Cricetulus griseus: one gene and its partner. The protein of the gene in region 2 purifies or fractionates together with the protein of the main gene of each other region. This does not show direct contact. Links are inferred from orthologs where the notes say so. Each region holds a gene or a part of one and is shown on either strand. Other genes may lie near its edges.

What was found. Proteins that work in one complex are often made in the same cells at the same time.
Region 1: the proteins of Exosc9 (region 2) and Dis3l purify together in Homo sapiens (affinity purification with mass spectrometry; 3 studies listed by BioGRID and IntAct, with this or other methods). This does not show direct contact. The link is inferred for Cricetulus griseus from reciprocal best matches to the Homo sapiens genes EXOSC9 and DIS3L.

Annotation. Positions count from the first base shown.
Region 1 is NC_048597.1:175,929,385-175,934,224, reverse strand, and holds part of Dis3l (DIS3-like exonuclease 1), read left to right. Parts: intron 1-1,675; coding exon 1,676-1,923; intron 1,924-2,410; coding exon 2,411-2,503; intron 2,504-4,840. UniProt on the Homo sapiens protein: Catalytic component of the RNA exosome complex which has 3'->5' exoribonuclease activity and participates in a multitude of cellular RNA processing and degradation events.
Region 2 is NW_023276806.1:113,102,894-113,107,733, reverse strand, and holds the end of Exosc9 (exosome complex component RRP45), read left to right. Parts: intron 1-612; coding exon 613-759; intron 760-1,281; coding exon 1,282-1,460; intron 1,461-2,737; exon of another isoform or gene 2,738-3,063; coding exon 3,064-3,142; exon of another isoform or gene 3,143-3,288; coding exon 3,289-3,370; 3' UTR 3,371-3,545; downstream 3,546-4,840. Other genes in the region: Ccna2 (cyclin-A2), read right to left, coding at 4,099-4,147, 4,397-4,530, 4,783-4,840. UniProt on the Homo sapiens protein: Non-catalytic component of the RNA exosome complex which has 3'->5' exoribonuclease activity and participates in a multitude of cellular RNA processing and degradation events.

The DNA of each region.
Region 1 (4,840 bases), on a different chromosome or scaffold from region 2:
AGGTCATGCTTTGTAGCCGTAGCTGGACTGGGACTCATAGAGATCCACCTGCCTCTACCTGCAGAGTGCTGGGTTTAAAGGTGTGTGCCACCACACCCACCTACATCTCTTTTATTACAGTCCCAGACAAGCTCCGCTCCCCCGACAGATGGATGGATCAAAAAGTCAGGCTCATTATGAATGGTTTTTGAAACCTTTACACAAAACAAAAGTCCAATGAACATACACTACCAGTGATTCCATCAATTTATGGTCTTTCACAATCTCAGAAATCTCCTTTATTATTCTCTCATGACTGTATCCATTGTGCACACATATTCTATTCTGCCTTCTTCATTTAAAATTGTTTCTATATATTGACATAGCCTACTTATTTTTAGTAGTTAAAACAAATTACTGAAATTAATTTACCCTATTTTGCTTAAACATTCCTCAATTGTTGGACATTGGTAGTGTTTAATTTTTCAGTATTAGGGAAAGAAATATTGCTTGAAACATTTTTTTTAATCAGTGTTGCCTTATTTATTCTTTTTGATCATATCCTTGGAATGTAATCCTTAAAGTTAAATTACTAAGTCAAAGTGCATAAAAAATTTAAATAGGTTTGTTATATATTGGCAGATAGTTTTCCAGAAAAACATTGCCCCAGTGTGAATTACCGTCCACAGTAGATGGGTGTGCGTATTTCCATTATAGCTTCTGACATAACAGGGGCTACAATAAGAAAATATTTCAACTGTTTTACATTATTAAATTTAGACTATTTTACATGATTAAATTTTTATGTTTAACATTAGTTTTTGGAAATTATTTGTTCACTCACTAGGCACCTCTTAGTGAAAATGTTAGAATAAAATGAAGTTTGAATTAGACCTCACAAGACTAGAATTCTCTCCTTTAGCCTACTTAGCTGCAAACTGATGACTTAGAGGGGGAAATGCTCCAGATTGGTCTTGTTTAAATTATCTTTAAGGAAAAAGCTTTTATTTGGGGGGGGCATATAGATTTTTTTTTCTATTCAGGGCTTGGCTTGAATTAAAAAAGGGTGTCTAAGGAAACAGGACATATTGGCACATCAATGTCACCTATTCAGTCTTGTTCTAGCCCCATAACTAATGACACTGCCAGAAGTCATGGGACATTTCCAATAGACCATGAGGTCTTCAATACTGTCTTTCCTGATGACTCCTGACTTCCCAGAGGCACCTGATGAACAGTTATTAATTAAAAGAAAGCAAATAAGGCTGGAAAGATACGTATCCAGTAACGTGCTTATGCAGTCATGAGGATCTGAGTTCCAGGGCATGGTGACACATGCTCGCAATAATCTTAGCTCTGGGAAAGGAGACAGAAAGAGATCCTTAGGGTTTGATGGCCAGCCAGTCTAACTTTGTTGGAGCACTGCAGGCCAGTGAACAGTGACTCTGTCACAGGTAGACAAGTGTCTTCATGAATGCCTGATGCCCAAAGAAACCAAAGGACATCAGAACCCTGGGGATTGGGATTACAGACAGTTGTGAGCTGCCAGGTGGGGGCTAAGAATTGAACCTGGGTCCTCTGGAAGAGTAGCCAGTGCTCTTAACCACCGAGCCATGTCATCAGCCCCTCTCAAAAGAGTGGGATTTAGAGAACCTTATAATGCATGGATTTCTGACTATTTTGGTCTCTGGTGCAGATGTGTGAGATGCCAGTGAACACACCAGAAAACCCTTGGAAGGTGAGTCCCAAAGAAGAGAGAGAGCGGAAGGACCTGAGGAACACCCACCTTGTGTTCAGCATCGACCCCAAGGGCTGTGAAGATGTGGATGACACGCTCTCAGTCAGAACCTTGAATAACGGCAACCTGGAGCTCGGGGTCCATATCGCCGATGTCACACACTTTGTGGCCCCCAACTCTTACATTGACATCGAAGCTAGAACGAGGTAACCCTATTGGATGTCAGCAGTGGTGTGCGTGTTTATATCTGTGCTGTTTTCAGATGGTCAAGATCTCCTGTTTGGGCAGTTCTGAAAATCTCTTCTGGATTTTCCTGAAGTCCCCCACTTCAGGAAAACAGTACCTTGACCAATGTGTGTCCTTTCTTAACCTTTTACCCATCACTTTCTCTTATCTTAAAAATGAGTGGATTTTCACATGTAATACGGTATTCTATACCTCCCATTTTTCTCATACAACCAAGATTCATGTCACTTTTACTTTCTACATCAGTGGAAGAAATATTCAGCCAAAGCAGTGTGACTTGGTCAAGTGGGCACATGGGAGCTATTTAATTAGACAGCCGCTGACTTTATGGGAGCAGTAGCCCCCGGGGAATCTAACCCCGGTCTTGGCTGTTTACCTCCTGCAGCCCACACTGTCAGCAGTTCTGCTGGCTGCTGAAGGTCAGTTACCCCACTTGTGTCATTCCAGGGCCACCACTTACTATCTAGCGGATCGCCGCTATGACATGCTGCCCTCCATCCTCAGCGCAGATCTCTGCTCCCTCCTGGGAGGCGTTGACAGGTGAGTCTGATTTTCACCTTCAGGGCTGCCGCTGCCCTCCTGCTCTGTTTCTTCCAGTGTGCTCTCCCTACCACTCCACACCCCTACCGCTGCTTTCCTGGCTCCTCCCTCTGCTCCCTGCTTACTTCTTCCCTTCCACATATGGTTTCAGGGACCTTTCTTTTTCCAGCCTCCTCCTTTCCTTCTGTTCTGATGTTAGATTTCTGAAGTAGGCCACAGGCTGAGGAAAATGCACTACACTCTCTAGCAGATGCTGCTCTTTAGAAGGCACTTGAGCTTAGGGAGTTTGTGTTTTATCAGTGAATGCACAATTAGATAGTCCAAAATTAGTAAGTTCCCAAAGATAGAATTATTCCTATTATTTTCTCCTCAGGTACTGATTTTGGGAATATTTTCTATAGTTAAAACACATAAATATGGATGTGTAATTTTTCATTTTTATTTTCTAAGATTTTTTCTTTATTATATATAGTGTTCTGCCTGCATGTATGCCCGAACGCCTGAAGAGGGCACCAGATCTCATTGTAGATGGTTGTGAGCCACAACGTGGTTGCTGGGAATTAAACTCTGGAAGAGAGTAGCCAGTGACCTCTGAGCCATCAGTCCAGTACCCCATAATTTTTATTTTTATGAAAATACTAGCATACCGCCGGGCATTGGTGGTGCACACCTCAATCCCAGCTCTCAGGAGTCAGAGGCAGGAGGATCTCTGTGAGCTGAGGCCAGCCTGGTCTACAGAGCAAGTGCCAGGATAGGCTCCAAAGCTACACAGAGAAACCCTGTCTTGAAAAAACAAAACAAAAAAAGAGCAGATTTCCATTCTAGGAGTATTGTCCTTCCTGAGCAGAGTGCTTCTGTTTCTAACAAATATAGCCAGGCGATGGTGGTACACACCTTTAATCCCAGCACTCGGGAGGCAGAGGCAGGCAGAGCTCTGTGAGGCAGGCTCCAAAGCTACACAGAGAAAGCCTGTCTCAGAAAGAAAGAAAGAAAGAAAAAAAGAAAAGAAAGAAAGAAAGAAAGAATATATATATATGTGTGTGTGTGTATTATAAATGTAGAAGAGAATATGTGTGTGTGTGTGTGTGTGTGTGTGTGTGTGTGTGTGCTGTTAATATATAATTTATACACACATGCTATTCAGCACTTAAAATTTCACTTTTCCTTCTTTTTTTTTTTTTTTGAGACAAGGTGTCAGACATCCAATTCTCAAATGCAAGCCAAGGGTGACCTTCTGATTCTCCTGCCTCTCCCTATGCCCTAACCAACATGCCTGTCTTTTTCAGGGTTGGTAATCCAGCCCAGAACTTCATACAAGCTAAGCAAAGCACTCTAGCAACTGAGCTACATCCATAACCCTTCAGTACCTTTTTAAAAATGTTAATTTATTTTATTTGTGTCTTTAGTGTTATGTGGCATCTATGTATGTGCACCATGTATGTCTATAGTGCTTGCCGAAGCCAGAAGAGGACAACAGATCCCCTAGAACTGAAGTTACACACAGTTGAGAGCCACCATGTCAGTTCTGGGGACTGAACGTAGGTCCTCTGGAAGAGGCAGCGTTCTTAACACTGAGACATGAGACACCTTGCCATCGCTAGTACTCTCTCTAGGTACTTAAATATATCTGAAGGAGAAATTCCTAGAAACAGAGCTTATGTCAAGGTGCATGCATTTGTGTTTAGATCTATACAATCAGATTGTCCTCCAGAGACATTAAAGCAATCTGTTTCCACAGCAGTAGATGCAAGAGCTTGTTTTCCCACAGCCTAACCCATATACTATGTTGTATCCTTTCATCTAAGTCAGTTTGTTAAATAAGTAGTATCTTGATTTTAATTTGTATTTTTCTACTATGTGTGAAGGTAAACCTTTTTTTGGTTAAAGAATATTTATGTATTCTTTCCTGTGAACTACTTCATATTCCTTATTCATTTTCATTTGGGTTTATGATTTATTATTGGTTCATAAAAACTCTTTACATATTGGGGAAATCAGCCCCTTTGCATATATTATAAATATATAGATTTTTTAATAAAATGCTTTGGTGGCAGAGTAGTTCTTTGCTAATGAGCTTTTTGCTAATTAACCTATCATCAAGATTGATACCAAGCTCCCTGTCATCCTGTAGGATTTAAAGGCTTTCCTTTAATTTCCTGGGGCACTAAACAGACTTAATTCAATCAGTGTCAAGCTATTCTAATCAAAATGGAGAACTCTAAGGTTTTTCATATTGTGTGGGAACTCATTTCAGAGTTTAGCAGAACCCAGTCTGACTTTGTTGTTTACACAGGATCTCACTATGTATCCTTGGCTGGCCTAGAACTCACTATGTAG
Region 2 (4,840 bases):
GAAGCTTAAGGAATGTACTTCAGGTACCTATCACATATGCAGCAGAGGTTCAGTAATTATGGTGACATCTGTCTTGATAACTATGGTAGTATATCCTAGTTTGATTTCTGGTGCTGTGATAAAAACACACACCAAAAGCAACTTAAGGGAGGAAAGGATTTATTTGGCTTGTACTTCTAGATCACATTCACCAGGAACCTGGAGGCAGGTAGGCCTCCTTGATAGTTCATATACCTGTAATCAGGGAACTAACTCAGAGCTGAGGGAGTACAGCAGAAACCAGAGGAAGGCTGATTGCTGGCTCACAGGCTCATGCTTAACTACATTTCTGATATGGACAGGACCACCTGCCCAGGGAATGGTGCCCTTCATAGAAGGCTGAGCCCTTGGTTCATCAATTAACAATTAACTCCTCCACAGATAGGCTAGTCTGGTCTGATTAGGGCCTCCTTTCTCAAGTGACTTTGGGCTGTGTCAAGTTTACCGTTAAAGCTAATGAGAACAACTGAAGTTAAGCAAGTCTGTTTCTTATCTACCAAAGCCAAAATAGTAATTTTTTTCTCTCTTTTCTTACTGTCATCTCCAAATACCATTACAAAAACCCACCTACAGGAAAGAAGGTGGAAAGTTTGGCTTTGCAGAGTCTATAGCAAATCAAAGGATCACAGCATTTAAAATGGAGAAGGCCTCTGTTGATACCTCCAACATAGAGGAGAAAGCAGAAGAAATTATTGCTGAAGCTGAACCTCCTCCAGAAGTGTATCTTTATTGGGTGGCTCTTTATAGCAACAAGATGTATAACATTTTTTTTGTTTGTTTTTATCAAGGCTATAATGTGCATATTGAAATTTGTTTTGGGGGAAATCATACTTCTAGCTTCTCTCAGTTAAAAAACATACATTTTTCTATCTTAAGAACCAACTTCGAGCTGGGGGATGTAGCTCATTGGTATTGCACTTTTCTAGCTGTGTATAAGGCACTGGGTTCCATTCCAGTACTGTGAGAAAATACAAAATTCCAGCATTCATTTCCCTTTCAGAAACTACTTCAATACTGATAGCATGGCAAAGATCCTTACATGGTATTACATTATCTTGAAATCATTCATTACCAAATTACTATGAGGTTGATTATTGGTGATGTCCAATTATGTTATCCATCTGTAGTATATTTTATTTTTATTCCTAAGAATTTGTGGAATATATGAAGCAGTCTTAAAAGAAAATAGCTCATGAGATAGCAGTGTTTTGGATGGATATTCAGTTTTCTTAACTTGTTAAGTGTTTCTAAACCTGTGCTGTGGACTCCTGGAACTGCTCAGATTGGAGATGGAATAGAAAACTCCTGGGGTGACCTTGAAGATTCTGAGAAGGAAGAGGAGGAAGGTGGCATTGATGAAGCTGTTATTCTTGATGATACAAAGATGGACACTGGAGGAGTTTCTGATATTGGAAATCAAGGTAGGTGATGCTTTTGGCTTTTAATGTGTACTATAGAGACAGCTACAGACATAAACTATATATAAGTTATAGATACAAACTATAGATAAAACTTGTATATATGTAAAGAGGTATCTGTATGGAGTTTGTAGATCATATATAGGGAAATTTCCTGTCTTGGAAGGCTATTTTGGGGATTTAGTGGTATGCTTTGGCGTGATAGTGATTTATATATTTTTCCAAGACAGGGTTTCTCCATGGAGCTTTGGAGCCTGTCCTAGAACTAGACCATGCTGGTGTCAACTCAGAGATCCACTTGCCTCTCTGCCTCCTGAGTGCTGGGATTAAAGGCATGTGCCACCACTGCCTGTCGATAATAGTGATATTTTTAAACAATTAAAAAAATTACATCTGGCTAGGTGTGACATACACCTTTAATCTCAGCACTGGGGAAGACACAGGCAGGAGGATATTTGTTCTACATAGAGAGTTTTGGGACACCAAAAACTAGAGATCTTGTCTCAGAAAAACAAGAATATATCCATGGCACTGAAGGGTTTTCCTTAAGATCTCACTCCTGCAAGCTACTTTGTGTAGGTTGACTCAAACAACAAAAAGCTCATGATGTGGGCCAGAGTTTGGATCCCAGTACTCACACTGGATGGTTCACAACCCTCTGTATTCCAGCTCCAAGGGAACCAACACATCTTTTGGTCTGTGGAGACCAGCACACATGTATACTTACACAGATGCACACAAAATTGGCCACATTGGTAGCAGTGACTATCTTTAGGTTAGAAGTCCCTTGAAGGTCTAACTTGCTGTGGTCCAAAAGCCATAAAAAGAAATGTGTGCCAGGGTATGCATATAGATGTCAGAGAACTTGCTGGAGTTCCAGGAAGTTGCGACCTGCCATATGTAGGTGCTGGCAACTGAACTCAGGTTCTTTACCAGAGAAGTATGCACTCTGAACTAATGCATATTCTACTTGTCTTCATGAAAGAGAATCATTGCTTATAGACTTGGTTTTTGTTTTGACAGGGGAACAATGTTGGTTTAATTAGGTTAATGGGTGAGTTTTATACCATTCATTGTATCCAGTTGTCTTAACCATCAATAATGCTGTTACCTCACTATCACTGGCTAGTGTCTTTACACTTGTGTATATATCTATTTGCCTAAGATTTAGTAAGGCTCATGAACAGCTAAGATAACAAGGATGATGATGGTAGAGTTTTTCTAAAGCATGTGAATAAAGAATGCTGAGACAAGAATACACAGCCAAAATAGGCAAATGATTAATTTGCATGCTTTATTTACATATATATATATATAATTAATATTCAAGACAAAAATGGGCAAACAAAAGTTCTCTACATTTTTCATGGTTAGCCCTGGTAGTAATAAACTAGACCGTCCTGGCCTACGTGAGTCCTCTTAAAAAAAAAAAAAACAAAAACAAAAACTACAAAAAACATGTATTTTTTACAAAATTTTTGGAAAGAGTATGTTGTATATGCTGCCTCCAGGCAGCAGAGCTTGAGCTGTGTGTGCATGGAAATGGGAGCATTCAGACTAATGATACTAATAAGTAGTTACTTTTACTTTCGGTATTTTCTCCAAGGTGCCCCTATAGTGCTGTCAGATAGCGAAGAAGAAGAAATGATCATTTTGGAACCAGACAAGAACCCAAAGAAAATAAGGTAACAGATTTCTGGTTACTTTCAAATATACATAAAAATAGGACTTATGTCTGTAAAACAGGATGCCTTTGCCTTTAAAGTTCCAGCGATCCAGTCCAGGATTCAGTGGACATACACTGAGTTGTGGTATTACTTTATTTTCGCAGAGCTCAGACCACCAATGCAAAAGAAAAGGCACCAAGTAAAAGTCAAGTGAAAAGGAGGAAAAAGAAGAGAACTGCTAATTAAAGCTAAAATGATATTTTTGTGTGTATATATATATAAAACTACTAAAAGGATATTTATTCAGTGCTTTAACAGCACTGGGTATTTTTTTATTTGAAAATCCATTATAAGAGCTGAACTGTTTCATAAATTGTTTTGTCTGTAACATTATGCTTTGAATAAACTTTCTGTACAACTTTTCTGTTGCACAAAATCTTCCTAATCCATGTAAAATCTTATTTGTAAAAGTAGAACTGAATGAGTCTGGGGAGTCTCTGCTACACTGAAGAATCTAGTTTTTGCTTATTTTATGACCAAGTCAGCAATTGGTTCAGTTGCTTAGAATAACCAATGTCAGAATTTGAAGATCAGTTTCCCTGAAATATTTCAGTTTTAGGAAGCTTTTTCTACCCCCACTGAACAATAAACCAAGTTAGCCTTTCTAAGTGACATTATCAGTCTTATTTTTATCTCAAATTAACTTTGACTTGCAAAGATTTCCAAATCAATTTATTCTTATTATCCTGACAGTTGGCAGCACCAAATGTTAACAAACCAATTAAAATTAGCCAAATATCTAAGATAGACACATGTACAAAAGATATACAAATTAAAACCATTTAAAAAGCAATGGATACCATAATTTGTCCGTGGCTATACCATCTACATTGTGAAATGATTTGTGAGATTAAAACCCAAGACAAAACTGTACATTGTGAACTCCCATTTTAAACAAAGGTAGTCTTTCATTCTTACACATTTAGTGTCTCTGGTGGGTTGAGAAGAGAAACACCATGGTATCTGTTGAGCAGAAAAAAAATTTTTTTTTAGTAAATATTCATTGGGGAGATCACAGAACAGTTTATATGCCCCAGCCTAGGGAAATGCTATTTCTATTTGATTAGACTCAAAACGTGTGTTACCTTACCCATACCCTACCAGATGAAAGGGGGAAATGCCAGGTACAATAGCTTCCTAACACATTTACCTTACTGAGGCAGCTGTGGCAGATTACCATACCCTTTAAATGAATGAGAATCTGATTCTTACTTTGAATGTTTGTACTTTTCCCTTATTGACTGTTGAGCATGCTGTGCTGCTCTGAGGTAGGTCTGGTGAAGGTCCATGAGACAAGGTTTAAGACTTTCCAGGGTATATCCAGTCTTTTGTACCAATGACTCAGGCTACAGAGAAAAGACAACCATTGAGTTTTTAGTAACAGCACAGGGCATTGACCAATGAATGCACTTACAGTTGACCTAAGGTTGGCATTCATCTTTAACATGTTCAAGCTCATGCCATCTTTTATTTTGACTGTTTGACTACTTCCCCTGCTAGCAGCAGGCAGTTGGCCCAGATTCTTGAAGCAGAGCTTTCAAATTCAAGCTTACAGCTAAGCTTTCTGCCCAAACCAAACCAGCAACTGTAATACGTACCCAGCTTTGTCCTGTGACTGTATAGAGTGCTAAATGAAAGGCAGCTCCAGCAATGAGT